3 linked regions of the Alligator mississippiensis genome follow. The protein of the gene in region 3 binds, or shares a complex with, the protein of the main gene of each other region. Links are inferred from orthologs where the notes say so. Each region holds a gene or a part of one and is shown on either strand. Other genes may lie near its edges.

What was found.
Region 1: the proteins of SLC3A1 (region 3) and SLC7A9 are in contact, whole or in part, in a cryo-EM structure (PDB 6LID), measured with the Homo sapiens proteins. The link is inferred for Alligator mississippiensis from reciprocal best matches to the Homo sapiens genes SLC3A1 and SLC7A9. Residues at the interface, in NP_000332.2 of Homo sapiens: Pro64, Tyr65, Ala66, Gly67, Met68, Pro69, Lys70, Leu73, Phe74, Phe76, Ser77, Tyr82, Pro85, Arg86, Phe90, Thr93, Val97, Leu100, Ile101, Ala103, Thr104, Ile107, Ile108, Ser111, Cys114, His201, Asp202, Thr373, Glu374, Pro375; in NP_001119807.1 of Homo sapiens: Cys137, Phe140, Tyr141, Val142, Gly143, Cys144, Pro147, Ile149, Val150, Cys153, Leu154, Ala156, Ala157, Leu160, Phe161, Thr164, Leu168, Thr279, Thr281, Asp295, Arg296, Tyr299, Tyr343, Val346, Arg347, Lys467, Thr470, Met471, His472, Gln474.
Region 2: the proteins of SLC3A1 (region 3) and SLC7A13 are in contact, whole or in part, in a cryo-EM structure (PDB 8WK6), measured with the Homo sapiens proteins. The link is inferred for Alligator mississippiensis from reciprocal best matches to the Homo sapiens genes SLC3A1 and SLC7A13. Residues at the interface, in NP_000332.2 of Homo sapiens: Pro64, Tyr65, Ala66, Gly67, Met68, Pro69, Lys70, Leu73, Phe76, Ser77, Arg81, Tyr82, Pro85, Arg86, Leu89, Phe90, Thr93, Ser96, Val97, Leu100, Ile101, Thr104, Ile107, Ile108, Ser111, Cys114, Leu115, Glu194, Asn195, Asp202; in NP_620172.2 of Homo sapiens: Ile120, Phe123, Phe124, Pro125, Ser126, Cys127, Leu132, Pro133, Cys136, Leu137, Leu139, Ala140, Met141, Trp143, Ile147, Arg151, Lys187, Thr265, Arg267, Asp281, Arg282, Glu450, Cys454, Tyr455, Gln457, Leu458, Leu459, Phe460, Asn461, Ile462.

What each region holds. Positions count from the first base shown.
Region 1 is NC_081833.1:60,111,716-60,122,680, forward strand, and holds the start of SLC7A9 (B(0,+)-type amino acid transporter 1), read right to left. Parts: upstream 5,089-10,965; 5' UTR 4,956-5,088; intron 2,258-4,955; 5' UTR 2,236-2,257; coding exon 2,134-2,235; intron 1-2,133. UniProt on the Homo sapiens protein: Associates with SLC3A1 to form a functional transporter complex that mediates the electrogenic exchange between cationic amino acids and neutral amino acids, with a stoichiometry of 1:1.
Region 2 is NC_081826.1:50,305,507-50,315,644, forward strand, and holds the start of SLC7A13 (solute carrier family 7 member 13), read left to right. Parts: upstream 1-4,979; 5' UTR 4,980-5,109; coding exon 5,110-5,833; intron 5,834-10,138. UniProt on the Homo sapiens protein: Associates with SLC3A1/rBAT to form a functional heterodimeric complex that transports anionic and neutral amino acids across the apical plasma membrane of renal epithelium.
Region 3 is NC_081824.1:196,899,321-196,909,907, reverse strand, and holds the start of SLC3A1 (neutral and basic amino acid transport protein rBAT), read right to left. Parts: upstream 5,216-10,587; 5' UTR 5,141-5,215; coding exon 4,705-5,140; intron 1,614-4,704; coding exon 1,434-1,613; intron 204-1,433; coding exon 49-203; intron 1-48. UniProt on the Homo sapiens protein: Acts as a chaperone that facilitates biogenesis and trafficking of functional transporter heteromers to the plasma membrane.

The sequences.
Region 1 (10,965 bases), on a different chromosome or scaffold from region 3:
TTCCCCTATTCCCTCCTCCAGTGGAAGGTTTGGGGGCATGGGCAGATGCAAGCTAGGCTTGGTACGCTGAGGCAGAAGAGTGGGAAGAGGAGCTTAAACCACCTCCGTCCCCACCTCTGTGCGAGCCCTGGGTTGGGGTATGGCCATGCCCCCCTCTGCTCAAGTGGGGGGGGAGGGGCAAAACCCTGGCAGGGACTGCCCCACCCCTCCCTACCAGGCAGATCTTGATTAGGGTCCCCCGTGGGCCAGGAATGGGGTTTAAACCCACCATACACCTGTTAGCATGGTGGCCTGGACCAGGAGGGTTTGGGAGATAAGCCTGGCAGGGGCAGTCTTCCCCTTTCCCTCCCCTCCCAGACAGACCTGGTCTGGGGTCTCATGCAAGCCGGGGAGGGGGTTTAAAGCCCCCCACCCCCTTCCCCTGGCCTCAGCATGCTGGGCCTGGTCACATGTCCTCTGCTCGAGTCTTGGAGGGCTTCTCTCGTCCCTTCCTTTTGGCAGTGGCTGGGAGGCATGCTCTTGTGCCCCACAACTTCTGGTCTGAGCCACTGCAGGTGTGTGGCTGTATTTCTGGAATTGAATGTGAATTTCTGTTTACCTGCTTCCTGGTTCACTCTGCGCAGTTTAGACTAACCTGCAAGATTGAATCGATTCAGCCTCTGGCTTTTCAATTGTCTATACTTAGCCCATGGGACTCAAATGCTGTTGAAATTTTATCCAGCATTCCTAGTTGTGTACAACTCAATAAATTTTAAGTTGTTACTTGATTAGCACTGTCTGACATAGAAATCTGACACAATCTCTCCATTAAATACTTTCCAGCTCCATAGATCCTGCATGTATGGTTTGTCCTTAGTCCTTACTTAGCATAGGCTCAGTTTGCAGGTGTGATCTGGCTGCAGCCTATCTGCATGCACTGGCATGATCTAGCATGCAGGGGCTTGTCATCCAAACCATAGGCACTGAGTACATGGGGGCCCGAGGGCCCTGGCCCTGCTTGAGAAGAGGGTAGGATGACCACCCATAGCTAGTTGGGCAAGACAGTCCTGAAATGGGAACATCAGGTCCTGGTCCCAGGTTACATGACTTCAGGACAGCATTTGTCCCAGATTCCCAGTATTGTGCAGGGATCTGGGTTTTCTGTTTGCCATGGAAAACTGCACAAAATGGTCGGTTTCCTGCAGGCTGGCAGAGTTACAGCCTACAACGGCCTGTGGGGAGCGGGATTTAGGGGGTGCCACGTGTATGTGTGTATGTACATGCATGCATGTGGCCAGGAGTATATCTCCAGGTAGTGGTAGAAAGCAGCTCCCCCAGCTGCCTGCAGGCAAGCTTACAGAGAGGGGCAAATTGAGGACCCCACAGTGAGGGAGGGAGTGGGGAAGGGACTGGACCTGGGGGTGCTGCCCAGCCAGGGTAGTGTATGTGTCCTGAGGTGGGGAATTAGATACAGCCACAGGTGGCTCCTTGAGGGACCAGGGGGAAGGGTGGCTTCCTGCTACTACACACACTCCCTGGAAGGTGGGGCATAAGGGGTCATGTGCCTTCCAGATTTATGTACATGGCAGGGGTGGATACAGCTGTCTGTTCTGCCCTTGGGGCTCCCTGCCCTCCTGTTCTCCCCCCAGAGCACCGTGCTGCCATGGCGAGATACCCCCTGCCCACCTGGCAGCAGCAGGGTTGGGGATGCAGAATATTGCCCCCCACTGCTGCCAGGCAGGCAGGGGGTGATTTGCCATGATGGCATGGCTGGTATGGAGCTCCTGCGGGGAGGGGAGGGAGCCCCAAGCCTGCAGCAGGCTGCCTGCATCTACCCTTGCTCCCCTATGGGCTCTTCTCAGCTGTGCTCCAGCTGTGCTACCTGGATGCTGAGGGCATCAACTTAGGCCCCCCTCCCCCCCCCCCCCCAAATTAAAAGTTGGCGCCTATGATCTCAGATCTGGAAATCTGTTAACTGCCATGGTTCTGGGAGCTAGTGCTCCCTTGCTACCAAATTTCTAGTCCTGTGGGGAGCCCCACAGGCTGCATGAAGCAGCTCTGGGGGCAAGAGGTTGAGTGCCACTGTTCTATAGCAATGTTAAACATAGCAGAAGTGCAGTACTATTAAGGTATTTAGTGTAAAATTTTTCTTGCCTCTTGCTGTAGATTTGTAGTTTTGGGTTTACTCGTCTGAAGTGATAGTTCATCTCCTCCATTAGCTTCTCCTGTTCTTTTCCTTAAATTTTCTTCATCCATTTGGTTGATCTAATGTTGGAATCTTTCAAGATATGAAAACAGAGGTTAACTTCCTTTTTTTCCTTTTATATGCAATCAGATGAATCCTAAATTGTGAATAAAATGTTGCACAAATATTCAATTAACTTGTCACAACAATAAAGAGTAATGTCCTCTCATCACTAAAGAGTTTCAGAAGGGTAGCTGAGTAGTGTGTAAAGGCGCATACATTTGTACACCTCCTTTTCAGTTACAGTGAAAGCTCTGTTATTCGGCATCCCCCAGGAATGGGAGATGCTGGATAACAAAATATGCCAGTTAATTGAGCGGCCCTGGCCGCTGCTTCTCACGCTGCTTCTGGGGCGTCCCTCCGCCCCTCCCGTGGCATTGCTGCCCCTCCTGCCATGGCAGTACTGGGCCCTGCAGTACATGGAGGTGGGTCCTGCATAGCCCTGCACAGCCTGTTATGCCCCCAAGCTGTGGGGGCTCGGCAATGCAGGCTGCTTTGCCCCGAGCCATGGCGGCTCAGAGAAGCCAGAAGTGCCATGGTGGGCACTTCCAGTTTCACTTTATCTTACAAGCCGGCATGCCGGTTAGCAGAGCATGCCAGCTTGTGAGATGCCAGATAACAGAACTTTTACTGTATTTACTATTTATTCAAGAACCATGGTGGGTCATAATGGGACTTTGAATGCTAATGTAATTATTTGTCTTTATTGTAAAATGATTTTCAAATTGAATAAGGATAATTTGGGAACATTTGCATTATACTATGAATTAGGGCTGTGCAAAGCTTCAGGTGCCGATTTCAATTCGGAGGAGATTCGGTCTGATTCAGTGGCCGAATCTCCAAATCTAAATCGAATCAGGGGACCAATTAAAAAGTATGAATCAATTCGAAGCTCTCTGAATCTTTTGGTGAGTTGGGCAGTCCCTGCCCACTGCAGCAGGGAGCTGGACCCGGACTCCAAGCTGGTAAGTAGGGGGTCGGGGGGAGGTGACCATGGGGGAGCCCCTGCCAGGCCCCATCCCCTGCCCGCTCCCCCAACCCTCCCATTGCTGCCCCATCCACCCCAGCTTCTGGCCCTTTAAGAACCCTCCCCCCAACTCACTGGCTTCTGCAGTGGCCTCAGGGCTTCTGGGGGCTTGTGGAAGAGCCCCCCACATGGTGTGGGGCAGCGGGGATAGCTCCCCTGACAGGCAGGAGCCAGTGAGTCAAGGCTTTTTTTGTTTGTTTGAGGGTTTTTTAAAGGCTGGAGCTGAGGTGGGCAGGACAGCCATAGCGGGGTCTGGGAGAGCGGGGAGGGCAGGGGGCTCATGGCAGAGCCCCCACACAGCAGGGGACAGCAGGGATCACCCCCCTGCCTGGAAGCAGCTGGTGAGTGCAGGCTTTTCTTAGAGAGCCGGGAGCTGGGGCAGGTGGGGATGGGGCCTATGTGATTCGGCTGATTTGGCAGCAGCCGAATCTTTGAATCAGATTTGCCCAAATCAATTCAGGATGGTGATTTGAATCACCGGATCGAATCACTGTCCCCAAAATTGGCCGAATCCGAAGCGAATACTAGCTGTTTTGCACAGGCCTACTATGAATGTGTGTTGTGCTATATAAGATTTAAGTATTATTCTAAAGTTATCAGGAACTCTGCTAAACTCTCATTTAAATACTAAACAATCCTTAGCAAAAACCACATAAAGATTCTTCTTAGTTAACTGAAAAACAAAGGCCGGTCTTAACCTGAGTATAAAATTCTGGCTTTCATATATATTTTACTTAAAAACAATTAACCATGTATAAAACTGTCTTGCCAAATGCAGCCATTCAGAAATAAGAGTTGACTTTAGGATCCTGGTTTTATATTTTCCAAGTATAGTTTTCATTTGCATAAAAAAATCTCCATTAGATAATTTACTTGTGTTAAACCTTGCCATTATTCTTGCTTAAATCATTTCTTAGTTTTATTTAAATATGATTTTGTAAATCTGCATCATATATTATTTCCTAAAATAAAATTGACAGGTACTAACAATATAAGTTAAAAGTTACAACTAAAATTCTAAAGACCCACTTAAGTAATTGATGCTCTCCTAAACTGGAACGAAGACCAGTAAACTTAATGCTCTCATTAACTTTATTTGAAATAGTAATGTTTTATTTTCTAGAACATTTAATTCGTATATTATCAAGTGGTGAAGCAAGTTGAAGCTTACACTTGATGCTCTTTAACAATCCTGTCACGCAAAATTTCCCTCTGACCTTGGCTCTGAATTTCTTAGAACAGAATTTTGAAAGAATCACAGTTTTATGTATTATAAATTAATAGATTGTTTGCTTGTTGTTTCATTTCAGTGGCCAACCTGTTATGTCAATTTAGCTGGTTATTACTAATACAAATTGAATGGATGGTGCTTTAAATCCTCAAAGTATTAATTCCAGCATTAAACATTTCAGATCAGTAATCCTCAAAAGATGAGGGTGCAAATCTAAACAGTTCATCTAAATAAAAAAAAAAAGCTAAATATTAGCAATAGTGACAATATCTTAATATACATCTTCAGCTATAAACTTATTTTTTTTAAACTTCAAAATATTCATCATGGTTCCAAATAAAGATTCAGACTTAAATGTATGAGGACCACAAGGCTTGAATTTTATTACAATTCTCTGCCTAACGTTTTACTTTAAAAGTTTTATTTAAATAGTAATTTAAAGCATTATATTTTAACATTGCTTTTGCACTTACCTTATTTCTATTCGTATGTCATAAATCTGGTCTCACAGCTTTTGGACTAGTGTGTTTCTTCACCCCTCCAGTTAGATTTATCAAAAGTTAGTCAGCTGGAAATGTCTGTGTTTCAATCCTGATTATTCAAAGAGGAAGAAGCTTAAGTACAGAGGTTATAAAAGGTAATTATTAAACACATTTGTAGCCAAGAAGCTTTGAGATACGAATCCAAGGTAAACCAACAGCCCATTTAGTTTATCTGTAAAAATGTTTTTGGATTTATCCATTTATATGAATAAACTGTTTCTATTAATGTTTGGCCAGCATCGGAGTGTCTTATTATGCAGTGAGAGTGACCTAAGACCCCATGAAATTAAGAATTTGTTATGATTGTAAATGTGTTAAGGTCTTTCTAATTCATAAACAAATATAAAGGAAAAGTACCTTGGAAATGAGCATTTTTATTATTATGACCATCAGTTGTTTAGTAACCTGAAAAGCATTTCCAGATGCTAACATCCCATAGCAAATGTTTACTTTATCTTTAAAAGGTAAGGGAGTATGAATTTGATCCTGACCTAGAGGGTATTTCAGAAAAAGTATAATAGTCAATAGTCATTTCCAACATGAAAAAGACAAAGAAAACCATGATTTCAGTTGCCTTCATCCATTAACATGAAATTAAAAAGTACCTTTTCAAGACATTTTTAACTTGGAACATCCTGACTTTCTAACACCTACAAACTAAATTGGCTACAAATCATTCTAGAGTTCTTTGGGGAAATGGTCTCTCAACCTTAACACTATACTTATGAAGAAACCTAGAAATCTCCTTAGGTTTAAAAATATATTTAAGAATTGCTTAGTAAGAGGAGTTTCTGCACACTATTATCTGGACAACTCAACAGTCAAGATGACTTCAAATTTAAGGAGACCTCCTGATCATGAGATCTATACATGGAAAATTATAAATTTGTCCTGTACAATCCCACAATTGGCGGTTATCTTAAATTTGTCCCCACCACTACTGCAGCAGGGAAAGCAGTGGCATATGGACAGGCAGGCAGCCTGACCTGTGCCCCTTGTCCTCTGACCCCTCCCCACCTGCCTCCCCTGCCACTCACTTCTCCTCCCCACAGTGTCCACCACAGCGTCCACGATGCAGTAATTCTGGCTCTAGCTCAGACCATGAAGTACCTGAAGGCCCTGGTGCTGGCAAGACAGCAGAGCTGGCCCCGGCCCAGCAACAGCAGTGGCAGCTCCAGTCCCAGACCTGGCCTCAGTCTTATTTCTCTTTTGGTGCCACACAATAAAATATTAAAACTTAACTGTGGAAGACATCTAGTATACATTGTTTCAGGTTTGGATCAAGAGACAGACAGCTTGAGTCATCCTGGATGTATGTTCAGTGTCTATGGTCTGTTGCTGATCAGTGGCCATCTACCTTAACCACTGACTTGCTGATCGAGTTTAACAGTTCTGTTTCCTCATATTTAAAACAGCTATAATATTAACCTGCCTTCCAGAGTTGTTCTTGGCAGTTCATTGTTTTAAGATGCTCTGAGCTTATTAAATTAATTGCAATTTGACGAGTAGTTCTTGCCTTTGTCAATTAAGGCTGAAGCACCCAAATAATGGAAGAGAGAGGATTCTGGTAACATGCCGTCCATGAGCAAGATGGCGATGGTGTAATAATGTCTAATGTGAAATTCCCTAGCTGTTGTAGAAAGAGTACTTCTGTCTCATCCTCATGAATGGATGTGATCAAGGAGCTCAAATTCCAAGGACCTTCTGAAGCAGAAGCTCTAAGATGAGTATAATCCAGTCTGAACAGAAGTTGGCTGCAGATTTTGAAATTTAGAAGTATGCTCAGCATGATTATACAGAGTAATTTTTTAGTAGTAATAAATTAGTAGAGATATAGTTACTGTTTATATAACATTGCTATTAATAACTGGTAATAAAAAGTTAATATTTGTTAGGGTTGGTATTTACTGCTTGGTAATAGTGCATTGATAGTGCAATAGGGCAATATTGCTATTGATCCTGATGTCACCCCCAGCACAGGCAGCCCAAGAAAAGACCCATCCAAGAAAGCCCTGGGGCAGCCTGTCCGCCACACCTGCCCGACGCTCTGCAGGACCTTGAGGTTGTTCTCTAGCTTCTCATACTGTTCGGTGAGCTCCTTCAGCTGCTCGCACACTGCAGGGGGCAACACGGGAGTCCGTTACTTTGGATCAGTAACAATATTCTACCATTGTAACAAGTTGGGCCTTGAATGATAAGCATTTCAAAAAGGAACTTTTTCCTTTTCTTATCACTGAAACAGACTATGTAATTTTAACAGGAATGATGTGTTGTTCGCACTTTCTCCTTTCTTTGAGTGATGATTTTCTTGTTGTTTAAGAACAAGAGCTTGCTTTAAGAAGTTACTATAAGGACTGCGGTTTAAGGATTGTTTTTTGTGCGTTTCATATGCATCAGAAATAGATGCTACACATGTGAGACCAGAATATTTTTGACTAGCAGGTCCACATATGCACCCTGCCTGTCCTGTAGTAACTGACAGATGAAGATGTAAAGGATGGGGAAAGCTATTTCTGCTTTCCATTTCTTTTCTACTGCCTTTGGCTACAAGATGAAACATCTACAACATCCTTATCTCTGCTAACTGCAACTTTTTTGTTAGTTCCTAGTTATAGCTAGTGTAGTTACTTTTGGCAATATAGTTAAGAATAAACTAGGATGTAGCATAGGTCTCAAGTCTGGAAGGGGCTCTTGTACCAGACCTCTCTGGACATTGCAGATGTGAAGTCACCAAGGTTTAAGACCTCTTCCTGCAAGGCAACTTTTCATATTACTAATATACGCTCTAAAGCACCTCTTCTCTGAAGAGGTACGTATCCCATGCATGTTTCTCTGCTCCTGGCTTTCAAACAACCCTCTAACTTTCTGAAGCAGCTTATCTGAAGCAAACTCCCCACTGTTTAACAGACATAAAACAGGTTGCAACCTTGCCTTACCAGAAGATGCAAAACCTGTCTATATCTCTGCTGCTATAACAAATAGACACTGCCCACAATAAACTCATCAGAATCCATGAATCCTACACATGCCTTTCCCAAAGTGTGGTGTACTGGATCCACTGCACCAAATGCTCTCATGGTAACTACTATGTGGATGAAAGTAGATAAACTGCACACCAGAACAAATTCTCACAGAAAGAATATAAAGGAGAGAGAGACACAAACACTAGTAGGAATGCATTTTTCACAGAACAGCCACTCCTTTTCTGACCTCACTATCCTCGTGCTCAAGGGAAATTTACAGAACACCTTCAAAAGGCGAGCCCTAGAACAAGAATTCTTAAGCTGCCTGAACACTAAGAGCCAAGGACTGAACACTGATAATTGACTTTATGACATACTATAATCTACGTAATCCCTGAACATTTTTTTCTACTGCAGGTGATAATGACCCTCTTCCCTTTTCAAAGGTCTCGATCTTCCACTAATCAAGCTGTCTTTTCTTGGTAATTGCTTGTCTTTGTACTCCTGGGGTTTTATGTCTTTTCCAGTTTCACAGCCCAGCACACTTTTAAATCATTACTGTGCCTGCTGCTTCTCTCAGACCTGATCAAGAATATTTCACATCTGAAAGCTTGTCTGTCTCAACCATGCAGTTGGACCAGTAAAAGATCACCCACAAAATCCTTGCTTCTTGCATATTTCCTAGACCACCATGGCTACAAAGTCACTCTGATGCTAAACATGGAAGATATTGAAAGCTGCCACTTAAAATGGAGTGTGTGTAACCTTAAAAAAAAAAAAAAAAAAAGCCAGACTACACAGTGGTACCTTCTTCCTGAGCTTCTACAAAAAAAAGCATCATCCCAAGGGGACTCATTTGCAACCCTCTAGCTAGCGTGCACAATTCCATATACGTGACACAACTCTGCAGGAAAACCTCATAGAAACGGAGAACCTATTCTCTTCACCTAACATACTCCAAAAAGGATCAACTTAAACAGGACAATACAAAATTATGCTACTAAACTAAGAGATATTAATCTGGAAGCATACCTGGCTGCTGTGCAGCAGACAACATATGACCAGAAGTACCTGATGACAGCCATCCAATACAAGAAGAAAAAGTGGAATCAGCTATCACAGCAGAAGCCACCTCACAGGTAGTGGTGTAGTAATGCAGGAGAAAATTGGAACAATTTCCAATAATTGTTCTTTCTGCAATATTGGTCCATACTTTTAATATCTTGATTCCTTACCATTGCAGGCAAACTCCTATGACAGCTGAGAGAGTTTATAATAGAATACTTACAAGGGCCAGTTTAACACAGAAGTGTAGTTGAAGGTGAATTTTATGATGCTTAGAATTATAAAATCACTGGAAAATTCAGTAAGATCTGAGACCTCTGAAATAGTAGTAGGAGTGGTGCTAGTCAGGGTTGAAATTTACATGCAGACCTGTGTATGGAAATATACACAATCCTGTGCTACTGGCCACTCCTTCGTGAAAATAAAAGTAACTTGAAGTAATATCAAAATAAAGATAGACCTTCTCCCATGTAGCAAATTTTAGATCCTCTTTCCTCCTAGCTCAGATACTGTAAACATGTACTTTTCCAACCATTATAAGCACAAGCTCTATTGTAAATTAAAACCTAAAAGTCTCCTGACAGTCTATAGATCTGATTTTATTTCTCAGTGAAGAATCCAGTGGGGAGGTCGCATTTGTCCATCTAAGATGCCACTCTGGATGCTGAGAAGGGGATGTCATGTTTCTGACAGCTGCTCCTGTGCTCCATAGATGTCTGTTTAAAGTCAGTCTCCTTTTTTTTTTTTTTGCAAGAAACAAAAATGTTATATGTGGTTATGTTGGAGTGGTGTTGTAGACATGGTAGTCCAGGAAATGAGAGGCACGGATTTTGGGGGATGATATATTTTATTGGACCAACTGCATAGTTAGGAGAGGTTTTAGGCAAGCTTTCAGGCTCAAGGTACCCTTACTCGGGTCTGGAAAAGAAGCAGATGTAATTTGAGCTAAGGTACAGATAGAGCATGGATCACATGTGTTTTCCCAGGCTTCTGGTCTGACTCAGTCCTGCTCATAGCACATAGAACTTTGAGCTCCTTTAGTCCGTAAATCTAATCTTCAATACTTATGGCATTGGGTTTATCTCTGTGACGTCTTATCCCTTGCTGCCACAGCAAGAATAAAACATCCGTCTTGGCCTCTGTTTTATATATCCATTTTGATTCTGCAGTTCTGTATAATACGCACCACCCGAGCCCTTTGACACTGATTTGTGCGCTGTATTAGCAGCTTGTCTGAAGACACACGTAAGGAATCCTTGAAAGCTTCATACTCATTAAGCTGTAAAGAAAAATATTGCTTCTGTGCTCTTACCTATTTGTACAACCTGTGACTGCAAAAAGGATTTGCAAGGATGGGTGGTACTAATAATGCATTAGTAACTAAATCAGAATTGTATGTATAGAGTGGATTCACAATTTACAGCACTATTTCATTATGAGTAAACAGACTATTCCAGGTTATTAGAGCACTCAGAAGTAGCATAAACATTGCTGTAATAAATGCCTGAAACCACAATTACCAAAGAGTTCAGCAATCAATTACTTTGAGATTTCCTGCTGTTAAGAATGAATGAATTTCAATTACCTTTGCAATTCCCTGCTGTTGTGAAAGATGAATACAGACCCAGCTCTGAGAGGTGCTGTACTCAGTGGCAGCAGCTTTTGAAGCAAGTGATATGCTCAAGCCTTCTTAAAATATAGATCATACATAAGAATCCATGTGAATACAAATCTTGTGAATATGTAAGAATGTCGTGGTTCATGACTGACCAAAACTAGTTCATTGAGTTTGTAAATTTTTATCAGTTACGTGTTTCAGGGACAAAAAAACCCCCTTCTGTTAAAAATAGAAAACAAGTCAGCTGATCTAGATGAATTAATGCATTTTTGACCAAGTGCAGTGAGTTTTTTCT
Region 2 (10,138 bases), on a different chromosome or scaffold from region 3:
TCAGATCAGCAGATGGGGCCCTCCATTCCCCTCAGGATGGAGTCTCCGATGACAAGTACTCAGCATTTCTTTCTCTTGCGCCCCTGTTCACACTGTGCCACATGTAGAGTGGCACCATCCACTCTGGAGGCATCTCCTTCTACCTTCTCCTCCAAGGCTGCCAGGGCCTTGAATATGTTCCCCATTTGTACCTGGGGAGCTGCCTCCATGCTAGCCTGAGGAGCCCTGGTTCTGGTGGTCACCTTCTATTCTTTGGCTGTGTCTCTCTTGCAGGAGGTTTGTTGGTTGGAAGAGTGATCCTGCAAAGAATGGAAATGTGTGTCAATCTCATCCTCCGCAGCCCTGATTCCCGTTAGGCTGCTCACCTCGGCCTGGAGCTCCCTCACCTGCTCCTCCAGGGCCCAAAGTCGGGCACAAGAGGAACAGTCAAGGGAGCCTCCAGACCCCACTCCTACCCGTGGCCTCCAGGTCCCCGCCAGGCAGCCCCCACAGACAGGGGGGCTGCCTGGCCTCCGTCTGGGTGGGGGTCTCAGAGGAGCCCAGGGTAGGTGGCACCACCAGCGCGGGGTTCCCAGTGGCTGCCCTCCTGGTCCTTACCCCTGAGTCGCGGTCCCTAGCAGCTGCTCCCCGTGTTCTTACCATGTCCATGTCCGTGGAGCTGTGAATCTTCCTCTCTCTCTTGCTGCAGACTCCTTCCTGGCTCATGCTGCACACCTTCCTAGCACAAACGCCAGTGCACTCTTTCAGAGCACGCCTTTTGCACGCTCTGTTCGCGTGCACGGCTCCTTGCCGGCTCAGCTAAAAGGGATCCAGGGAGCTTCCCCTCCAGATCTGCCTCAGAAAGAGGGTTGTCACCTCAAATGTGTAAAACTTCCCACATGTCCATCATCTTAGACCCCCCTGGCAAAAATAAAAATTGGCACTTATTCTCCTATCTCTTGCTTCACCCCACACCTTGATCCCTGCTGCCTGTCCCACCACCACTTTGCCCCACTCCACTGCTTGCTCCCCTGATGGCTGCCCTCCCTTGTGCCTGGTACTCCTGGCATCTTCCTCCCCTTGGTGTCTGCCACCTACCATACCTGTGACCACCCCCCTCAGCACTGACTTGGCTCTACCTCCTTCTTCCTGCTCTGCCACCACCATTTACTCTCCATTGTGGCTCCAGTTCTGCTCCAGGCTGGGCCACAGAGCACATGATGACTTTGGTCCCTGCCTGGTAATGCAAGAGTGGTTGCAGCAGCTTAGAGGGAAAACCTCATCTTGGTTTGGAGTAAATATAGTGCTCAGAAAGAAATATCTCAAAATGACAGATGGTGGAGATGTCCTTTATGTACAAAAATGGCACAAACTGAGTTTGAACTCTGTACAGGAACAGTTTTGCTCACACTCCTTGTTTTAGCATTAGGTACATTTGTTACTATGGTTTTCCTTAGCAAAGATACAAACAGAATAGCACAGCTGGCATCTGCCAAGAAAAATGTGTAGCTTCGTAAGTTCCTTAGTAAAAGGCAGCTGTACGGTAACTTTGGCAGAGCACCAGAAAAGAAGCAAATTGCCAAGGCAGTAGATTAAGTGTCACATGCCCTCAAGGTTCAATTCCATTTTCTAAAGAAAATGGTTTGAATATACCACAGAGCACAATGTGGCTGATAGCAAACTGACTTCTCTCCAGTAGGGCTTAGGAACTCCTTGAAGGGCTTTTGAGGAGGCCACTTACTAAACTGAGAAGGAGATTGTAAAGATTTATGATCATCAACTGCTCACAACAGGTGCACTGAAAAACAAGGGTAGGGGGAAGCATGCATTCAATTACTTTTTGTCAACCATTTATATCTTTCTGGGCATGTCTACACGTGCCACTATGGCACTATTGTTACTGCGCTATCATTTAGCATTTACCGCACTATCATTTATCCTTTTCAAAGTACTAAAAGACAGTTCTGTGACAGCTGGTATTGCGCCATGTGCACTGTGCATGGTTGTTTTTAGGGATTACATCACCTTAGTGACATGCTATAACAGGGGAGCATATCACTATGGCATTATAGCTGCAGTGTCATGGGTTTTGCCCATGGATGCTATGTCACTGTGGTGAGTTGCTACAGCAACATAGCATCACGTGTAGCAGTCTCTGAGAAGATGATGAAGACAATTAACTGCCCGTGACTCTGCTTTGAAAACTATGCATTTTCTTTTGATACTCTCTTCAGTCCTTGGGCTTCTATATATTTGCTGAATAATTAAGGCAACTAAATTTTTTAGAGTACAGGTGTCAAACTTGTGGGGCCAAATGACTAGCATGGGGCAGGGATCCTGGAGCAGCTGGAGTGGGTGCTACATGTGGCTCAGTCTGGTCAGAGTAGCAGCCGTGTTGAATGTGTCATCTGCCCTGGCAGCTCTGGACTGCACTGGACACAGTACCTGCTGCAGCCAGTCCAGAACTACACTGCTTGTGGCACCTGCCAGTTCTTCATGCAGCATGGGTCCAAGAACAGATGGAGTGAGCGGCATGTGCAGCATGTATCTCAGAGCAGGCATTGTGTGTGGCACCATGCAGCTGGGGTGGCTATTGTTGGCTTAGAAAAGGTATTTAGAGGTTTGTTTTTGGAAATTGGCTTATAGGTATATGTATATGCATTAGAATGGTTCAGGATGGGAAGCGGGGGTTAATTGATTTCTAAGAGTCTGGGTCATACAGTTTTACACAGCATTGGAAGCAGACAGGCTGTCTAACACAACAACGCCAACAAGGACACATAGTCTGGAAAACAGTCTGGGAAAGAGGGGGACATGTATTACACTGTCCATAACATGAGATAAGGTAGCACCAGCTAACAAGGCCCCAGAGCAGGCCAGAGTCCCAGTTTTGTGGGAACAGACCAAATTAGGAGAAGGCCTGGAAAGACCAAATTAGTATGTGTGCACATAACGGGCTTGGAGTGTGTGACAACAGAGGACATGGACTTTTGACTACATAGAGGGAAGAACCAGTGATAGCCATGGATGAAGAGTCATCAGGAGTCATCAGGAAGAAAGGAGAATGCAAAAGAGAGACTGGAGAGTAACAAAGGGCCCCTCCCTATCCCACCTGGGTTCCTTCATGTCCCTTCTCCCCAGTCCCACCTGGGTCCTTCTTCTCCACATCCCTGTCCCCTGGGAAGGGTCCCCAAGGCCACTATGGAGAAAGGGTACACCACCAATCTGTCTCATCCACCCCACTGGAGGAGGAGTGTAGGCCTCTGCATCCTACCTCCAGACTGCTCACATGCTGCCATCTGATGCCTAAGAGATCCTGGCCAGATGTACTTTGATTCTGATGACAGCCTTTGGTAGATATATAGAACTGCTTGATTGTTTGTGTTGCTTCTTTTCAGTTATCACTGGGTATCAGTACATTTGCCTATTAGTGAGTAGAAAGGTCATGGTCAGTCTGAGGGTGGGTGGGTCTTTCCCCCTCCTGGTGGGTCCCTCCCCGGAACATGGCATCTGGATCCAAAATCCAGAGCCAACAGCCATTACGTGCAGTGTGACTATCATTTTGGTCAGACTGCCTCATACGCAGTGCCCATTCTGATCGCAGTCTGGTCTGGTCTGGAGAAGCTGCAGAAGCATTTCCTCACTGCTCAACTCCTCCTGGTCCCTCGGAGGAGTCAAGTGTACAGGCATTCATTCTCCCAGGAGAACTTCTCCTGGGAGCAAATTCTGTTGTGTCAGAGATTGGTTATTTTTCTTCCAGGACTGCCATTTTTGTTCCAGGAGAAATTGCATAAATGCCTGCACACTTGTGGGTTTTCCAGGGAAAGGAGCAATTATCCCTGTAGAAACATAACACCCGTACATCAGCAAATGCAGCCAACAAATATCTGTGAAACCCAAAGAGACAATATGTCCCATTCCTGTTTAATGCTGATCTATGTAGAAGATGACAGCTTACTGCTATCATTAATTACCATATTAGCTTAACGTTGCAGAGATCTGTGTAATGGATTTTTAACTCTGCTCATGTGATGACACATGTAGGGACCAATAAGATGTCACATGATGAAATTTCTGTTGTTCAATTTGCAAAGCCTAGGGCTGTGGTTCTCAACCTTTTAAAATTAAAGGCAGCCCTTGGAGAATCTCAGCTCTTAGCTTTTACTCATTACTTGACTACAGAAAAATTATAGAGCAGTTCTTCTACTGCAAAGCACTCAGGAAGACCACAACATGTCAAAATATTTTTGACAGTATGGATTCCTGTTTGAAATCTCTGGATTTATTTTGTGCATCACGTGCAGATGTTATACCTAACAGTACTAATATTTGGTAACACTTTTAATAATATGCCACTACACTCTGGTTGAGAACCAATAGCATAAGGAATTGTACATGCATGTACACACATATATACAAACTTCATTAAAAGAAAACTGAGGCTGCAAAGTTAAGCAGTCAAAGGTTAGGAAATGTCAGAATCAAGGCAATTGAACCTTAAGTCAAAACTGTCTATTTCGTGTAACGAATGTAGAAAAAATAGTGTGTGGATCATGCAATTAACAATAATGTCATAATCCATATGCAGAAGGGAGCTGGACTACAGCTGTACAGGCCAACTTTATAACATTATTTAATAGAGTTTCATATTCTTTTAGATATACTTCATACACAAGACAATAAATTAGTTTACTTCTCTATGGATAAATCTACACTGTAGTTACATAGAGAATGACTGTAGCTTGTGTAGCTTTCTGTTAGGTAGCTTTTCTGGTGGGTACCAATAATAGTTGGTTCCTGCCTGGAATTCTAAGAAGTACTAATACAGCTTGCCAGCACTGAGGTCTTGGCTGCCATGACTACACAGTTAACTCAAGTATATTACATGAATAGTTGTTTGCTACATGAAGAGCTGCCAGCATTTCTCATAAGACTTGGTTAATCATCTTCATACGTTACACACCAAAAAAACAGAATAAGCTTTTTCCTTTGAATGACTAAGCCAAGATTCACCAAGATAGCCTTTCACTGGCAAGTAAGATCTTGGCCTTTTCTGAATGAAAACAAGCGAGGCAAAAGAGCATTCTCAAACCTCTAGTCATAGATCTTAACTGCAAAAAGACTGAGAAAATGGGAAAAGGAAGGAATGACCATGTAAAAGAAGAGAAAAGAAATGAAGATGATAGGATGCAACTCAAAAGGACAATAGGGTATTTTAATGGGGTGAGTTTTATAATTGGCACCATAGTTGGTGCAGGGATCTTTGTGTCTCCTACAGGAGTGCTACAGTATTCTTTACTTAACGTGGGTGTTGCGCTATGCATCTGGACTGCCAGTGGAGTAATATCTCTGATGGGTTCCCTCTGTTACGCAGAGCTGGGGACTGCACTACCGTTCTCTGGAGGAGAATACAGTCACATAAAGAGAGCACTCGGATCTCCACCTGCTTTCATCTTTATCTGGACAGCGATGTTTACAAAGCCAGCATCAAATGCTGCCCGAGCCTTGTTGTTTGCAGAATATGCCACTCAACCTTTCTATGGTGCCTGTCCTGTACCAGAGCTGCTAAAAAAATGCTTGGCTTTGGCTGTTCTTTGGTGTCTGGGGATTCTGAATGGCCGCAGCATCAAAATGGCTGCTTGGGTTCAAACTGTTTTCACAGTGTTGAAGATGACGGCTTTATCCGTAATTGCCATAGGTGGCATTGTCCTGCTGGTTAGAGGAAGAAAGGAGAATTTGGCAAGGCTTGAGAATGCTTTTAGTTCAGAAGTTCCTGATGCATCACAGATTGCAGAAGCTTTTTTCCAAGGATTATATGCATATGGTGGTTGGTGGTCCCTCAATTACATGGCAGGTAGCTATTTTAAAAAATATATATTTTTAGCAGCCTTTCTCACATTATTCAGGCAATGTTATTATCACTTGTCTCCCTGTGAAAATAATATTTGTGCAGACATGTGTTTTAAAATGCTGGCTATTTACAAGGACCTTATGAGTTTCCATTGGTAAAAGAGGGTTGCCCTCATACATGGAACTTATTTGCTTAATGTGCATTAAAACTATAACTATATTGGAGGTCTCCAGAACAAAAGGGATATTTAAATTTGGACTAATATGGAAAGCAAAGATTTAAATTTAAATCTCTCTTACATACAGAACTTTCACAACGTAAATGCTGATTTTCCCTTCTTTTAATCTCATTGCAATTATATAAAAGAGGGTGTTACTTGGAGTGGGGTAGGATGGGGGTGATGAGAGTTTCACATAGTAAGGACTGAGTGCCTTCAGCCACACAAAGCACAGACCATTATCCTACTAAATGGTATTTTTTCTATTAGTGCATGGACTAATCATTAAATTTAAAATTAAAACTTTAAAAATATATAATTTTTGCAGTGAACCAGAGCTATTGATTTCCCTAGCAATGCAGTTCTTAGTGGAGAATAAAAAAAATAAGTAAAGGAAATAGTATAAACACTTTTCTGTGCCCTTTTAAATATATTGTTTCTAAACATTTTAAAGCCTATAATAGTTTAGTAATATACTCATTTATTCCACTTAATATATAGTGCCACATATGTCATAGTAGCAAAACCAATTAGCACGACAAACTTCTATAACAACTTCAGAGTAAACAATGTTAACAGGAATGTAGCCAATCATGAACACCGGACTAATCTAATGATTACCCAAACATTTTGCAGGATTGAGCTGTATGTTCTGAGTTTTTCTTCTTATGTCTTTAACATTCTCTATCTATTTCGTTTTTTCTCATTAGTCAAATATTAAACAAATTAAAAGTAACAAAGATCAGCAGAGAAAACTTGAAAAATAGTTAATGTTTTAAAAAGGGCAGTTTATGAACTGGTTATTTCTAGCTTGAAACTATGCTGCAGAAAAAAGTAATTTTTTCCCCCAAAATAAAATAAAATAAAATAACTAGAATTTGAAATCCTATTAGGGCCTTTTAAAAAAAGTACAAGTTTGATGTAACACGAGATATTGCAAATGTATTTATACTGTACTATTTTATTTTATGTTTGGTTAGCAACATTAATGCAGTAGAACAAATTAGACTCTATAATACTTAGGCAGAATCTATACTTTTTGACACTGAATTTTTACACTTTTTCAAGTATTGTTTCAAGTAACTACCAATATTATATCTAAGAAAAGAAATTAGGAGGGGGAGAAATCCTGGATTTTTTCTCTGGCATTTACTGGGTTCACTTAGCAGTACTTTAGGTGTTAGTTTTATTTTTTCTCCTGTACAATCACTCTTACATGTTATTTGTGTAGGTCTTTCAAACAGCAACAGGAGAAAAAATTAAATAATAGGAAAATGTGCTTGTGAAAGCTCAATGGGGCTTTATCTTGGGGCAGTTTTAAGAATTGTAAATAATATTTGTAAAGAATCTGTCAATTCAAATCTAGGCAATTTTAAAAAGGTGTTTGAAAAGTAAGTCTGGTTGGAAAAATTCTATGAAATCTGTTTTTCAATATAAAATTGGGTTTTCAGTTAAACATTTTCTTTTGGCAAAAGTATTTCTACAGATAATTCTGACTTTATCAACCCCCCCCCCCACCCGTACATCTACAAACTAAAAACATTTGGATTGTGTGTGAAAAAGTAGATTCAGAACCAAATCAAACTATTTGCTTTTGTCACTATTTGATAATATATAACATTCCTCATAACCATCGCAGTAGTTCAGACGATGGCATTGTTTAGTCTGGAGGCTTATGTTCAGAAGATGGTAGAGTTAATATTGTTTACTCTGGTAGCTTATGTTCCCATTCTTGTCTAAGGATGGGCCTTCCTATTCAGGAGTCTTTTCCCATGATGCTCTTCAAAAGCACAGGAAGAACAAGAACATATGATGCATCATTTAGCCCACGCTGAGAGCCAGCCTATCTAAAACAGGGGTGGGCAAAATACTGGCCCAGGCACAGTAGAGCCATGACACATCCTGCTGCCCCCTGGGCATGCAGCAGGGCTGCAGTGGTTCTGCAGCTGGACTGTCTTTCTAGGCAGCTGAGGTTGTGGCAGCTCCTTCCGGCTGCTGCTGATGGTGGCCCCAGCCCTGGGGTACCAGTGGGGACCTGTGCTGCATAGCCCTGAGCCTGCACACCCTGCACCTGCTCCAGGCTCACCTACCCAGGCTCAGCAGTGGTGGCCTGGGACAGAAGCTGTTGCTCAGCACGGGGAAAAGTGGTCCTCCTCCTTGCCACCACTGGGCTGTTCTTGCTGGAGCTACCTGGAGTCTGCACCGAGCAGCCCTGCGTCTATGCGTCACTGCCACCTCTGGGCTGCTCAGTGGGGCAGTGGTGGCAGTGCAGAGAAGATGCAGGGTAACCCAGCGTGGCGTGGGCTCCAGGTGGCTGCAGCAGGAACAGCTGTCAGTGAGAGGTTGCTTGTCCTCTGTTCTGAGCAACAGCTTCTGTCTCATACTGCTGCTGCTGAGCCTGGGTGGGTAAGTCTGGAGCAGGCATGGAGTGTGTAGGGGTAGGGCTGTGCACATGGGTCCCTGCTGGTACCATGGGCTGCAGGAGCTGGAAGGAGCCACTACCACCTGGGCTTTCTAGAAAGGCAGTCAAGCTGTAGAGCCACCCCAGCCCCACTCTGTGCCCAGGGACGGCAGGATGTGCCAAGCCCAGACAGTGCAGAGAAGGCCCAGGGCGGGCTGTGTCCGAGTTCCTGCTGATCTGTTCTGGTGGGGGGGAGGCTGAAGTAGGCCTGGGGTAGGGCTGGGGCTGTGCACTGCTGGCAGTGGTAGGAGGCACTGCGGGACGTGAGGGCTCTGGGCAGTTGTGGGGTGGGGGCGGGTGCTGATCGGGGGGTGTATGCAGGAGCTCCCATGCACACCCCACCATACCCACAAATCCTCCCCCACAAACCCCACATGCACCCCCCTACACACACCCACATGCCTCTGGGGAGAGCCCCACTCAATGCTATGTGCACACAACACACCACACGTGTGCACCCACAGCCTCCCACACACGCTCCACCATTGGGCCCCTAAAAATGCTCTACAGCCATGACTTAACACATGTGTACAGTTACAGAATGTTTTCAAAATGGCTAGCAATGCAAAAAATTAACCCTGGTCAAATGAAGTATTAGATTAAGGTGCTTTAAAGCAGAATGCCTTAGAAAATTTGTGTTCCTTCCAGGGTTAATGTTTTGCATGGGATCGGGGCTCAGTGGGGGAGGGTGGATTGGGGGAGCAGTAGCATGGAGTTGCCAGCAGCTTTTGAATGGCCTGAGCTGGGGAGGTGGGGTGGAATGGAGCCTCCTCACCTTGCAGCCTCACCCCACCCAGCTACCATGGCTGAGGTATGGGAGCCAGTCGAAGCCCACAAGGTGAGGGGGCTCTGTTCCAGCCCACCCCTACCTCAGCTCTAGCCATTCAAAAGCAGCCCATGGCTCTGTGCTGCCACTGTCAAGAGGCCCAGGTGAAGGAAGGGAGTCCCTCCTCACCTTACGGGCCTGGCCTGGCTCTCTCCAATAATCCAGCTGGGGTAGCTGGAGGGGGACCGTGAGTTGAGAGGGACTCTCTTCCCTCATCCCCCACCTGGGCCTCTTGACAGTGGCACATGGAGCTTCAGCTGCTTTTGCATAGCCAGAGATAGAAGGGTGGGGCAGGGTGGAGAGAGCCCCCTCATCTCATGGGCCCGGCCTGGCTCCACCTAATACCCCAGCCAGGGTAGCTTGGGATGGAGCCTGCAAGGCGAGGGGGTTCTGTTCCACCCCCCTCGCCAGTTCTGGCCATCCAAAAGCAGCTGGCAGCTCTACATGCTGCCACTCCTCCTCCTCTTCACTCCTCACTGACAGCCCCCAGAGCTGGGCAGTCAGGCAGGGCTGGGGAGATGGGTGGTTCAGCAGCCTCCTCAGAGGCTGCTGGAGAACCCCCACCTGCTGGGCAGGGCTGATGCAGGCAGGCTCCAGCTCCACCCCAACCTAACAGGCAAATATCTGTTGGGGGGTGGGGCAGTGCTCTAACCCATGGCACTTTATGTAAAGCACCGTGCATCAGAGCAGGTCCCTGGATGTCTGTAGGCATCCTAAGTAATTCTGACTATTGTTGTGGGTTCCATGTTTCTCCCCTGTTATTTGTGACCCACCCAAGTAGATATACACCTAAGTGCTTGCCAA
Region 3 (10,587 bases):
GATTTGTTATTCACTGTAATCTGTAAAGCACAGAAGCCCTGTATTTACCCAGTTGTTAGGAGGAGTGATTGTACCGTCAGCCTGTGCACAATCATGCCAGATGTAGTAATCCACATATTTCCCAGTCCTGTTGCGACTCAGCTGAAACCAACTGTGTTTGGCACTTGTGTGGTTTGGTATTAAGTCCATTATCACCTTTAAGCCTTATGAATCAAACATAGAAAAGATTAAATCCAAGTAACCCAAGACAGGAAATTCACATTTATTAATGTAGAATTCAAACACATACTGGGGCGTTTTACAGGACTGTGATGTCCTGCAGTTTTACAGGACAGTCTTCTGTCCTGCAGTGTTTAAAGTCTAAGGGCTGGTCCACACTTAATAGCCTTGCTGACATAGCTATACTGGTTAGGAGCATGAAATAATGCCCTTAATTGATGTAGATCTGGTGAGAAAAGTCAAAGTACAGCTTCAGTTCTACTAGCTAAGACTCCTTTTTTACCCCCTCTCAGTATAGCATATTTTGTTCAGGGAACTGATATGAGTTATACCAGCAAAAAGCTTTCTTTTGCAGACATAACTCCAAGTTACCTCTGCTAGTAAAGTTTTTTTGGGGGTTTTTTTAACTATAGCAATACTTTTATAGCATAGACAAGCCTACGGCTACAATCCTGCAGATATTGCTACGCTTGTTTACATTTGCATATGCAAGTATTTCCTTTGAAAGCAGTCATATGCCTCCTTCCTCCCTGGGAATTTACAACCAGTCAGAATTTTTTCCACAGATCTATGTATGTATGCGCTTCAGAAGGAAAAGATTATTGGACCTAGGGTGACATTTCTGGCCCCAAACCACCTCATCACCCCAAAACCAAACTCCTACAAGAACATTACTGATTATGGTGCTAAGACAGAAATGCACGCATCTCAGGATTTAGTTAAAAATACTGATGCAGGTACCAGTAAATACAATCTCTTGAAAAGGAACATTGCTTGTCCCTAAAACAATATGGAAAGAGCTTCAAGTTGAGACCACCTGAGAATCTGCTGAGAGATACCTGGATCTAGAAAGGCCCTCTGCTGCTATACTGACTTTCTCTTCCCATTCCTGGATATAGTCCAAATTCCATGAACCACCAGTGATAATGGAAGACCACCCAGGCTGCAGAGTCATACTTGATCTGAGCCTTCAAGAGGCCAAGAAGCAATGCCATCTTCACACCAACCCATCCTTGGTTTGGCCAGGCTCCTATCGCCTGTGCCAAGAGAAAAGGCTAGAGAACTAGTGTTACAAAGAGAAATCCATACATTTAAAGCCAACGTAAATTATTTAATGCAAGGCAATCACATGTAGTTACTGAAACAAGAGCAACCTTTTATTCCCTGAATGACTATTTTTAGAAGCACTGCTATTTGCCATATCTCCAGATTACCTTTATCATGAATAGCTGCAATCAGGTTTTCAAAATCCTTCATCGTTCCAAACATAGGATCAATATCACGGAAGTCTTCTACTCCATACCCAAAATCTTTTATGGGGGATTTATAAAAGGATGTTATCCAGATTGTTTTTACATTTAAATGTGAGACATGGTCCAGTTTTTCTTGGATACCTGTGAAAAAGACAAGACAAAACAAAACCTCTTACAAAGACAAAACAAAGCAACTATAGAAAAGACTTGGCACCAGAGCTGATGTTGTCATAGACTTTCAAACTGCAGGACATGTGTGGGTTGTGGGATATGTGACCTCCTTCCTTAAGGCTAGAGGAATCTTGAAACTCTTACATTATAGCACAAAGTCACAGAATGGGAACTATTGACCGCCATTGAAATTCTTTATTCAATAGCAACTGAAAAAGATTAATTCTAATAAAATGTATTAATTATCTCATACTTTCCATTTTGTTAGGAAAGAAATCCTCACACCACCTGCAGAGGCAGGTTAGCACAATATAAAAACAAATGGCCCTGCCTTTACCTCCAGGTAGATGAAAGACATTCTCTTTTAAATCAGCACTTTTGCTTAGTCTCTCACTCCAATTCTCTCTTTTGTCTCTGAAAATCACACCAGCTTTCCTCTTCTCAATGAAGACTAGTGTATTTTCCTGCTACATTGCAGTTCTTATGCACCTTTGGAATTTTTTTCATTTGTTGCTTGCTGTTGAAGAGTGCCTACTACCTTCCTTTACTGTGCATTTTTGGAGTAAAAACTGCAATTCAACTGAGTTCGTAATGTTTGGCACCAGCTGTTTGTATCAGATATACTTGGAGATCATCATCTGAAATGCACAGAGAAAATACTTCTTTTTTCCCTGTTTCAATTGGTGTTGGGCGGGGGAGGACAAAATACAGCATGTGGGCCAGATCTGGCCTGCCAGGCCATTCTATCCAGCCTGTGGGACCCTTCTAAAATTCAGAAAATTATTACCTGCCAGTGGCTGCCTGTCTAAAAGCTGATGAGGCACCAGGGGCAGGAGAAGCCAGTGGTAGGACCCAGCAGTGGCAGGAGCAAGGTCCATGTGTCCCCATCCCATCCCACCCCCAGCCCCCAACCAGAAGCTTCAGCCTAGCAAAGGCTTTTGGCCTGGTGACCTTGAGGCTGTTCCCCCACTTTCCCTCTGTCTGAAAGTGGAAACTCAGGTAAGACCAGATAGGGGTGGGGGAAGGAACGCCAATGCAGCAGAAGCTAGCCTGGCCTCACTGGCATCACACAGTTCCTAGCTCCATGGCTGGGTCTCCAGGATGCAGCAGAAACCAACCCCATCCAGCCCAGCCCCCATGGTTCTCAGCTAGTTCCAGCGCCATGAGGTCCTGGCCATGCAACTAGAAACTGCATGGTGCCAGATGGGCTGGGCTGGCTTCTGCACCATGTAGTTCTCAGTTGTATGACCAGGACCACATGGTGCAGCAGGAGCCAGCTGGGAACTGTGGGGGCTGTGTCAGGCTGGGCTGGCTTAGGCCAGGCTGGCTCCTGCTGCATCCTGCAGTTCTGGCCATACAGCCAGAAACTGCACGCTGTCAGAGCAGCAGGTTGGGGGGGAGGGGGAGGGAGCAGTGTTGTTGGGTAGGAAGGTAGGGAAGTGGCAGGGGAAGTGGCAGTGGCAGCGGCAGCAGGCAGGGGGGAGTGACAGCAAAAGGGTAGGTGGGACTGCAGTGGCAGCTGGGCAGGAGTGTAGGGCCCATGCCAGTGCCCCAAGGCCAGGGCTGGTGGGGGCCCAAGACAGGGCAGCAGGAGCACAGAGCCCAAGCTGACAGGGACTCTATGGAGCTGGGTTGGCTCTGCCCCCCTCCCTGCTGGCAGCCTGGCCATGTGCAGTCCTGGGGCTTGCCAGGACCACACACCACCGGGAGTCTCCGACTGCCATGGGTCATGAGTGCCCCAAAGTCCCACTGCCTGCTGCTGCCACTAGTGTCAGAGGCTGTGCATAATGAGGGAGGGGTGTGTGTGTGGGGGAGCGTGTTTGTAGGGTGGGTCCCACACGCACACCCCACCATTCACATGCATCCACACCCCCACCTTGCACCCCCATGCACACACACCCGCACCCTCATGCACATCCCACACCGACACCCCCCACATACTCCAACCACCCTCCTCCTACACATGCCACCCTCCCCCCCCACACACACAGCCTCCTACAAACTCCATATCCACCTACACCCCACACACACACACCCACGTTCCCCCACCCCACATACACGCACCCATACCCCTCCACAAACCCCATACCCACCCACACACACCTATCCACCCCCACAAATCCCATACATATACACATTCATACTCTCCCCCACACCCCACATACACACATACCCACACACACAATCACAGCCCCGCACAAACCCTATGCCCTCTGCCCACTCATACCCCCCCCTCACTCCTCTACATCTCCCCACAATATACAAAAGTAAGATTTCATTTTAAGTTGTTATGCAATTACCTCTATGTACACTGTGCATACACACATAAATCAGGACAAAAATATTTTTTTAAATCAAATTAATGCATGTTGTAGTAGATGCTTGATTTTTAGAATATAATTTTTTTTTTCTGGTTCCAAGATAGCAAACCACCTTGCCAAAAGAAGTACTTCCAGGGGCAAAGGGAAGGACTTCCAGTGGCAAAGGTCAGGGTTTAGGGGGTAGAACTTCCAGTCCCAGGATGGTGACCAGGGGGCGGGGCTGCCATTGCGACCTCAACAGCTCCCCAAAACTTGTTAAGCGGCCCTCCAGCCAAAATAATTGCCCACCCCTGGTGTTGGGATTTTATCCATTGATACATTACAGAACTAAGGTCAGCATGGCATTTGACCAATTGATCAGCAAAATATTAGATCCCAAACACTCTATGCTCTCCTACCCAATTTGCAGGGAAATTATAATCTGGATGTCAGTTTTGTAACCTCTCTCTGCAGTATTTCACCAGAATCCCAGATCTGAAGACTGGTAAACACAGGGAGGTTTTAACTTGATTTTAAATCTAGACTTGGATTTATGAACATGACCCATTCCTGAGGGTTTGTTTGTTTTTTTTAAAGATAATCATAGTTCTAGCTGCCCCGCCTCTTTCTTGACATATAGCTGCCTCTACATTAATTTCCATATTACTCTTTCCAAAAATAACATTATGCCATGTGAAGTATAATGTATATAGCTTCATGTTAGCAAGGTTTGAGCACAGCAAAAATACAAAGCAACTCACCTTTCAGATCACCATTCCCATCCATGTTGGTGTCCTTAAAAGAACGAGGATAGATCTGATAAATGGGACTGATTTGCCACCAGCCCAGACACTTTGGAGACAGAGCAATAATTGCAATTGTAGCACATACAAGCACTAGCACAGATGCAATTATAAGCCAAAAGAGGATTTCCCTGGTGACTCTGTACCGTGCCTGACAGGAGAACTTAAGCAAGACTTCCTTAGGCATTCCTGCAAAGGGCTTCAAAACTTCACAAGAGGGCTCCTGTGTACTTTCTGGGTTGATGCCAACAGCACATGTTTTTGGCATCTCTTCTTGGCGACTGGCATTGGTCTCATTTTCATCCACAGTCTTCTCCTGAACAAATCCATTGTTTTCTATCCCTCCTTTCTCACTCAGCTCAACAGAGAAGCTTTTAATTTCCTCTTCAGCCATTTTTGTTTGGTACGTCTTGTCTGGGGGGGGTCCTGCTGCAGCTGGGAGAGGTGGCAACTTACCTTTGTTCAGGGAAAATGGGCAGTTATGTCATTAGCATTGGGTTTATAATAAACCTGACCAACCAGTCAAAGTTCAGTGAGAAGGAAAGGGCAAAGTGCTCTCTACCCCTTGGCATAATGGACTTCACTGATAGTGAATGTCCTCAACTAAATGGTAAAATATTACAAGGAAGTGCAGACTAAATCTTGTCCAACTGGGATGAAAGCTTACTTCTTACATTGACTGATCAAAGATGAGGCTTCAGGTGCTGTCACACACTTATTAGCCCTACTAAACTTTTATTGCTTCTCACAGCCCTGAAAAGGAGATGGCCTTTGCTTCAACTTCTAGCAAGAAAACATTTGCTTAGCAAGTCTCATATCTCTTGAGTCAGGAACTTCCTGGTGTAAATTACTCTGAAAAGTATTAAAGAGCAATTTAATCAGTCATGAGAACAATTTGCTGACACTTCTGGCACAGAAATAATAGAACAGACTAAAGCATCTTATTCCTGAGGAGAATCCAAATGTCTGGATAACTTCAGGACAAGCACAACACAGTTTTAATGATGTATTTGTTGTCCCAAATGAAATGATGTGAGATTCCAGTTAAGGAAGCAGATGTGTGTTATCAAGTACAAGGCCCAACCATGATCCACTGTGGAAGGGATCACTGCTACCCATGTATAGACTCAAGTAAATGGGGCTTGCACAGAAGCAATAGATGGATGATCTATTATTAGGCTGAAGTACAAATAACCCTATCCACTACAACAAAATTTGACTGTTCCAGGTTGGGTAACAGAGAATCACCCAAAATGTCCATAAAAGCCACTAAGACCCAAGTCCTGCACAGATTTGCACAGGTGCTTTATGTACTGTGATCTGCTCAAGCCAATAGCCCCACATCAAGTAGGACAGATCCTTGAGTACTGTCATATGTCACAGTATCTTTGAAGTAAATGGAAGACTCATAAGTTATACTTGTTGAGGGTCTGCCCCACCACTTGTAAAGATAAATGCAGGCCGAGGAATACACGATTGGGAGGTCTAAATCCTTCTCATGTATAGGTTGTTGGTTTTAGCCTCTTAATAAGGCAGCTTTCATATTGCTATAATAAAAGTAAAAGAAGTGTTTATAAATATCCATTGAATTTGCAGCCAAACTGATGCAGTGCGGAGGTTTACAATCTAATGACAAGAATTTAGTGTGTAATGCTGATAATTTTCTTCTGTGATTTCTCAGTCAGACCTGAGGGAAAAAATGAAGTACTTTTTATTTGGAAATTGTAATCCTTCCCTTCCTTTTTCATTACCTAGTCCTAATGTGATGACAGAATCATTCCAACTGTTCAAGCTGAGAGGGATGAAGCAGACACAGCCGGAAATTTGAGAGTTATTTGAAATATTTTCAGGGTTTCTCATGAATTGGGGGAAAGCGATGGATTTCAACACAAAGGAAATTAATTAAAATAAATTCCCTTACTAGTATTTTACAGCACCTAGTATCCTTACAATCCTTACAGACAAGAGTCTGTAAAAGTTTCCATGGTTTCCATTTTATAAGTCTGAGACATTATTTTTTATTATGTTTTCTGTGAAACATTAAATAGTCTTAATTTACCCCTGGGCTTCATTACTCCTTCCCCTAATAACAGTCACATTTTCCCCCAAACAGACGGAGAAAGGGAGAGGAAGAATTTACCCTGTCAACCCTTTATCCCTGCTCTCTATCAGTCCCACTTCTTCTTCCTGCCTGCCACTGGCCCACGAAAGGCTCCTTTGAATGAGAAAGGACAATGAGAGCCTGTTAGTGGGAGACGCAACTGAAGTGTCTCGGAGGGAAGCTGCTTGGTAGAGCCTGGATTTTTCACTAGAGCTCTCCTTACTAGTAAATGAAAGCTCTTAATCTACTTCAGTTGTCTCCCAGAGTGCTTCCCTGGCCTAGAAAGAAACCCCCATTCACAGGTATCACTGATCCCAGGATTTTTCAACATTTCCTTCGTAGAAAAAATTCTTTCTTGCGGATATGCCTACTCCAGTAGATGATGGGCAACTATTATATATGTCTAGACTCGTAGGCAGAAAAGGATGAGGAATGGCTCAAGGAACATAAAAAGGGCCTAACGTCACCAGAAAGGGTTATCAAAGCAGATCAGAACACACATTAGCAAAACCTGCCATAAACAAGGTCACCTTTGCTCAATTAGGGGCTAGAACTACGGCCAGAGCTAGGTTAAGAAAGGTAATACTAACCTAGATTAGCCAAGACAACGTATTGTTTCATCTCCCATAGACACTTTAACTAAACACTCAGTAGTATAATACACTATAATAAGCTAGTATTACAATATTGTTCTGGATTGATGCAAGAGCTGCTGTAGCATTTGAGCACGTAACATTATCTCACCTACTGTAAACAAGGAAAACCTATAAAATTCTCCTGAGGTGAGAGACTAGCTTCATTCATACAGAAGCCAGGCTTTTTGCCCTAGCTACAAATGATATATATGTTCCAAAGAACAGGCTCGGTCCTAATAAAAAAAACTCTGTCCATCTAAGATACTCAGTAGTGAGTGGGAACTTAGTTCAAAGCACCACAGAAATCAGGCCACTTATTTAAACATAAATTTACTGACTGTATGGCCTAACTTAGCACATTCAGTGGGACATTTTAAGGCTGAATGAACTTTTATATAGACCTCTAAGTAAGGAAGGTATAAGTATATGGGAGCCAATTTGGCCCCAGGCTAAAGCTCTTTTCCCCTTCAGACCATAAGCATGTTTCTTAAACATTGTGGATTCTTGGGACACATATAGAGTCATATAAAGAGTTCAATGGGAGTTAGGCATTTAACAGCCTGTTACGGTAAATGACTTCCTCTTAGGGCACACAACATCTAGGAACATAGGGTGTCTACACAGCCCAACACAGTGCCAGATAGAGCTATTCAAGTTAGTTCTGGATGGAGAAGGCTTATTCTCTGTAGCAGCAGAGCACTGAACTAAGAGCAATGGCGTCAAGCTGCAGCAGAGGAAATTTAGGCTGGAGATCAGGAAGAACTTTGAAGGTGATCAAGCACTGGAACAGGACACAGAGAGAAATTTTCAAGAGCAAGTCAGACACTCGGCCAGGATGATTTAATCAAGAATGCTCCTGCCTTGAGCAGGGGTTGGACTAAATGACCTTGTGAACTCTTCCAGCCATACTTTCCTATATTCCTAGACCTAGCATGATCTATGTGGGACCTAGTATGATCCCAGATCTAATGTGATCTATGTGGCTTGTCTTGTGGTAGAACAAGGGTTTGAATCTGGAAATTTGAACTATCACCACCAGGCTGAGAAATTTAAATTTTTGGTTTGTGCATCTGATTCATAACTGCAAACAGTGGTCACCATAAAAGAGTCAAAAGTACATTTTGGATGTGCAGAAGTCAAACCTGTCTTGAATATACATTGCTAAAGACGTTACTAGGGCCTTCTGCTTACAAAATCAGGAGGTAATCACCTTATTGCCCTGTCCATGACAACTCCAGCAACAAGTTCACCAACTTCCAGACATCAGCTTCTCCTACAGGCAGAGACAACATGAGATACATGGATTAAAGGGCTCAGACAATTCATGTACCCCACAAATGAAAAGTCTGATGCTTACCAGTTTCAAGCAATTGTTAAACACTTGTGATTTGCATGTGGACAGAGATTTCCACCCTTTTTGTCAGGCTACACAGAATCCACAGGGCCTGACAGACACTGAAATTAAAAAGGTTAAGAAACAACTTTCTCGGTAAACCAGAAACTAAAGTTTACAGAATCAAATTTCCCAATACTGCAAGGAATGTGCAATTTTTATTTATTTTTTTTTGGGGGGGGGGGTCTTTTTCTTTTTTGTACACTAAATAGTAAGCTACAAAGCATAAACACCTTCTTTCTATATGTGAATAATCTGTTGTATTCTTTCAAAATACCATTTCTTTTTCTTGTATCAGCTCTGTGACAGGGCTGAGGAGGAGGAGGACAGGGCTGTGACAGAGCTGAGAGAGCAAAAAAGTGAGACAGAGACACACCAGTCCAGCCATGAGGGAGGGCAAGGGGGAAAAGGGTATGGCTCAGCGATAACCTGCTGCATGCAGCTTGCATTTGAGAATTTGGCAACAGGGGAGGGACGGCAGTACTAATTGCCACCACTCCCCCACTACCAAGTTTCCCAATCCGTGGAGAGCCCTGCATTCAGATACAATGGCTCTGTGGGCCAGAGGTTGAGCACCCCTGGAGTAGACTCTGAAGCAACCTGGCAACAGGTACCCGAGACAAGCGCCTGGGAAAGCAGGCTCTGTGGTGCAGCGAGAGGCACCAAAAGCTGTTGCTCTATGACCAGACTGAGGTCATACACCCAAATTAGTAACATCAAAAGTGTGGCAGGAAAGTGAACTAGGCATTTGAGTGGTCACTCAGATGGGCAGATGGGCAACAGGTACCCTAAGGCCTCAGCGTCTGTACTGTTTCAAGCCCTAAAACAAGACTCTGAAACTTGCCCTGTGCTTCACCCTGAATGCAGACTGAATGAGCTACTCACAGCCTAGATCTGCCCTGGGGCACATGGTGGGGCCAGCAGTGGCTGCTGTGGGACTGAAAGGATCCATGGTGGCAACACAAGAGACTATAGGGTGAATGGGACTATGTGCACAGCCCTCACTTGCCCTCTTGCTGCCAACGGCCATGTCGCCTAGGACCCAGGGCCATGACTCCAACATCTGGTAACCCACCAGTAGTTTAGATCAGATGGAGCAGCTCCGTGGGTCAGATATGGCCCATGGGCTGCATGTTAGACACCCCTACCCTAAATGATATGAACTTCCTACATATCACAGACCATACAGTCTATATCCACGAAATGGAAAGGAATCATAAGGGATTTGGGGTTTTTTCTTAATGATTATTGAATTGTCAAAGCAATAGAAACCACATGAAACTGGAAAGACAAAGGAATACTGAGAGATATGCACCTAACAATGAAATATTAAGTGAAACTTCTGAAAGGTGGGTTGGGTTCCTGTTATTACCCTGGGGAGTCCAGAAATACAGTATTTGAACCAACTCAATCATAAGGAACCTCCAATAAGAAAAGGATTGGGATAAATCCGTTTTACACTCATGCCACCTACTGGGCATCAGTGGAAGATGAAAGAAACAGGGAACTGAATTCTAAGCTCCCAGCTGCCAAGAGGCCAATAGAAAGTAAGAGGATTGCCCTCTTCCAACATCAGCTGAGAAAGAATACGCATAGACTAGGGCAGGAGTTGTCAAGTCATGGCCAGCAAGTCAGATCATCTGGTCCACTACGATGTCCCACCTAGCCCCTGGAGTCTGATCTGGCATAAAGGATGTGGATGATACAGCTCA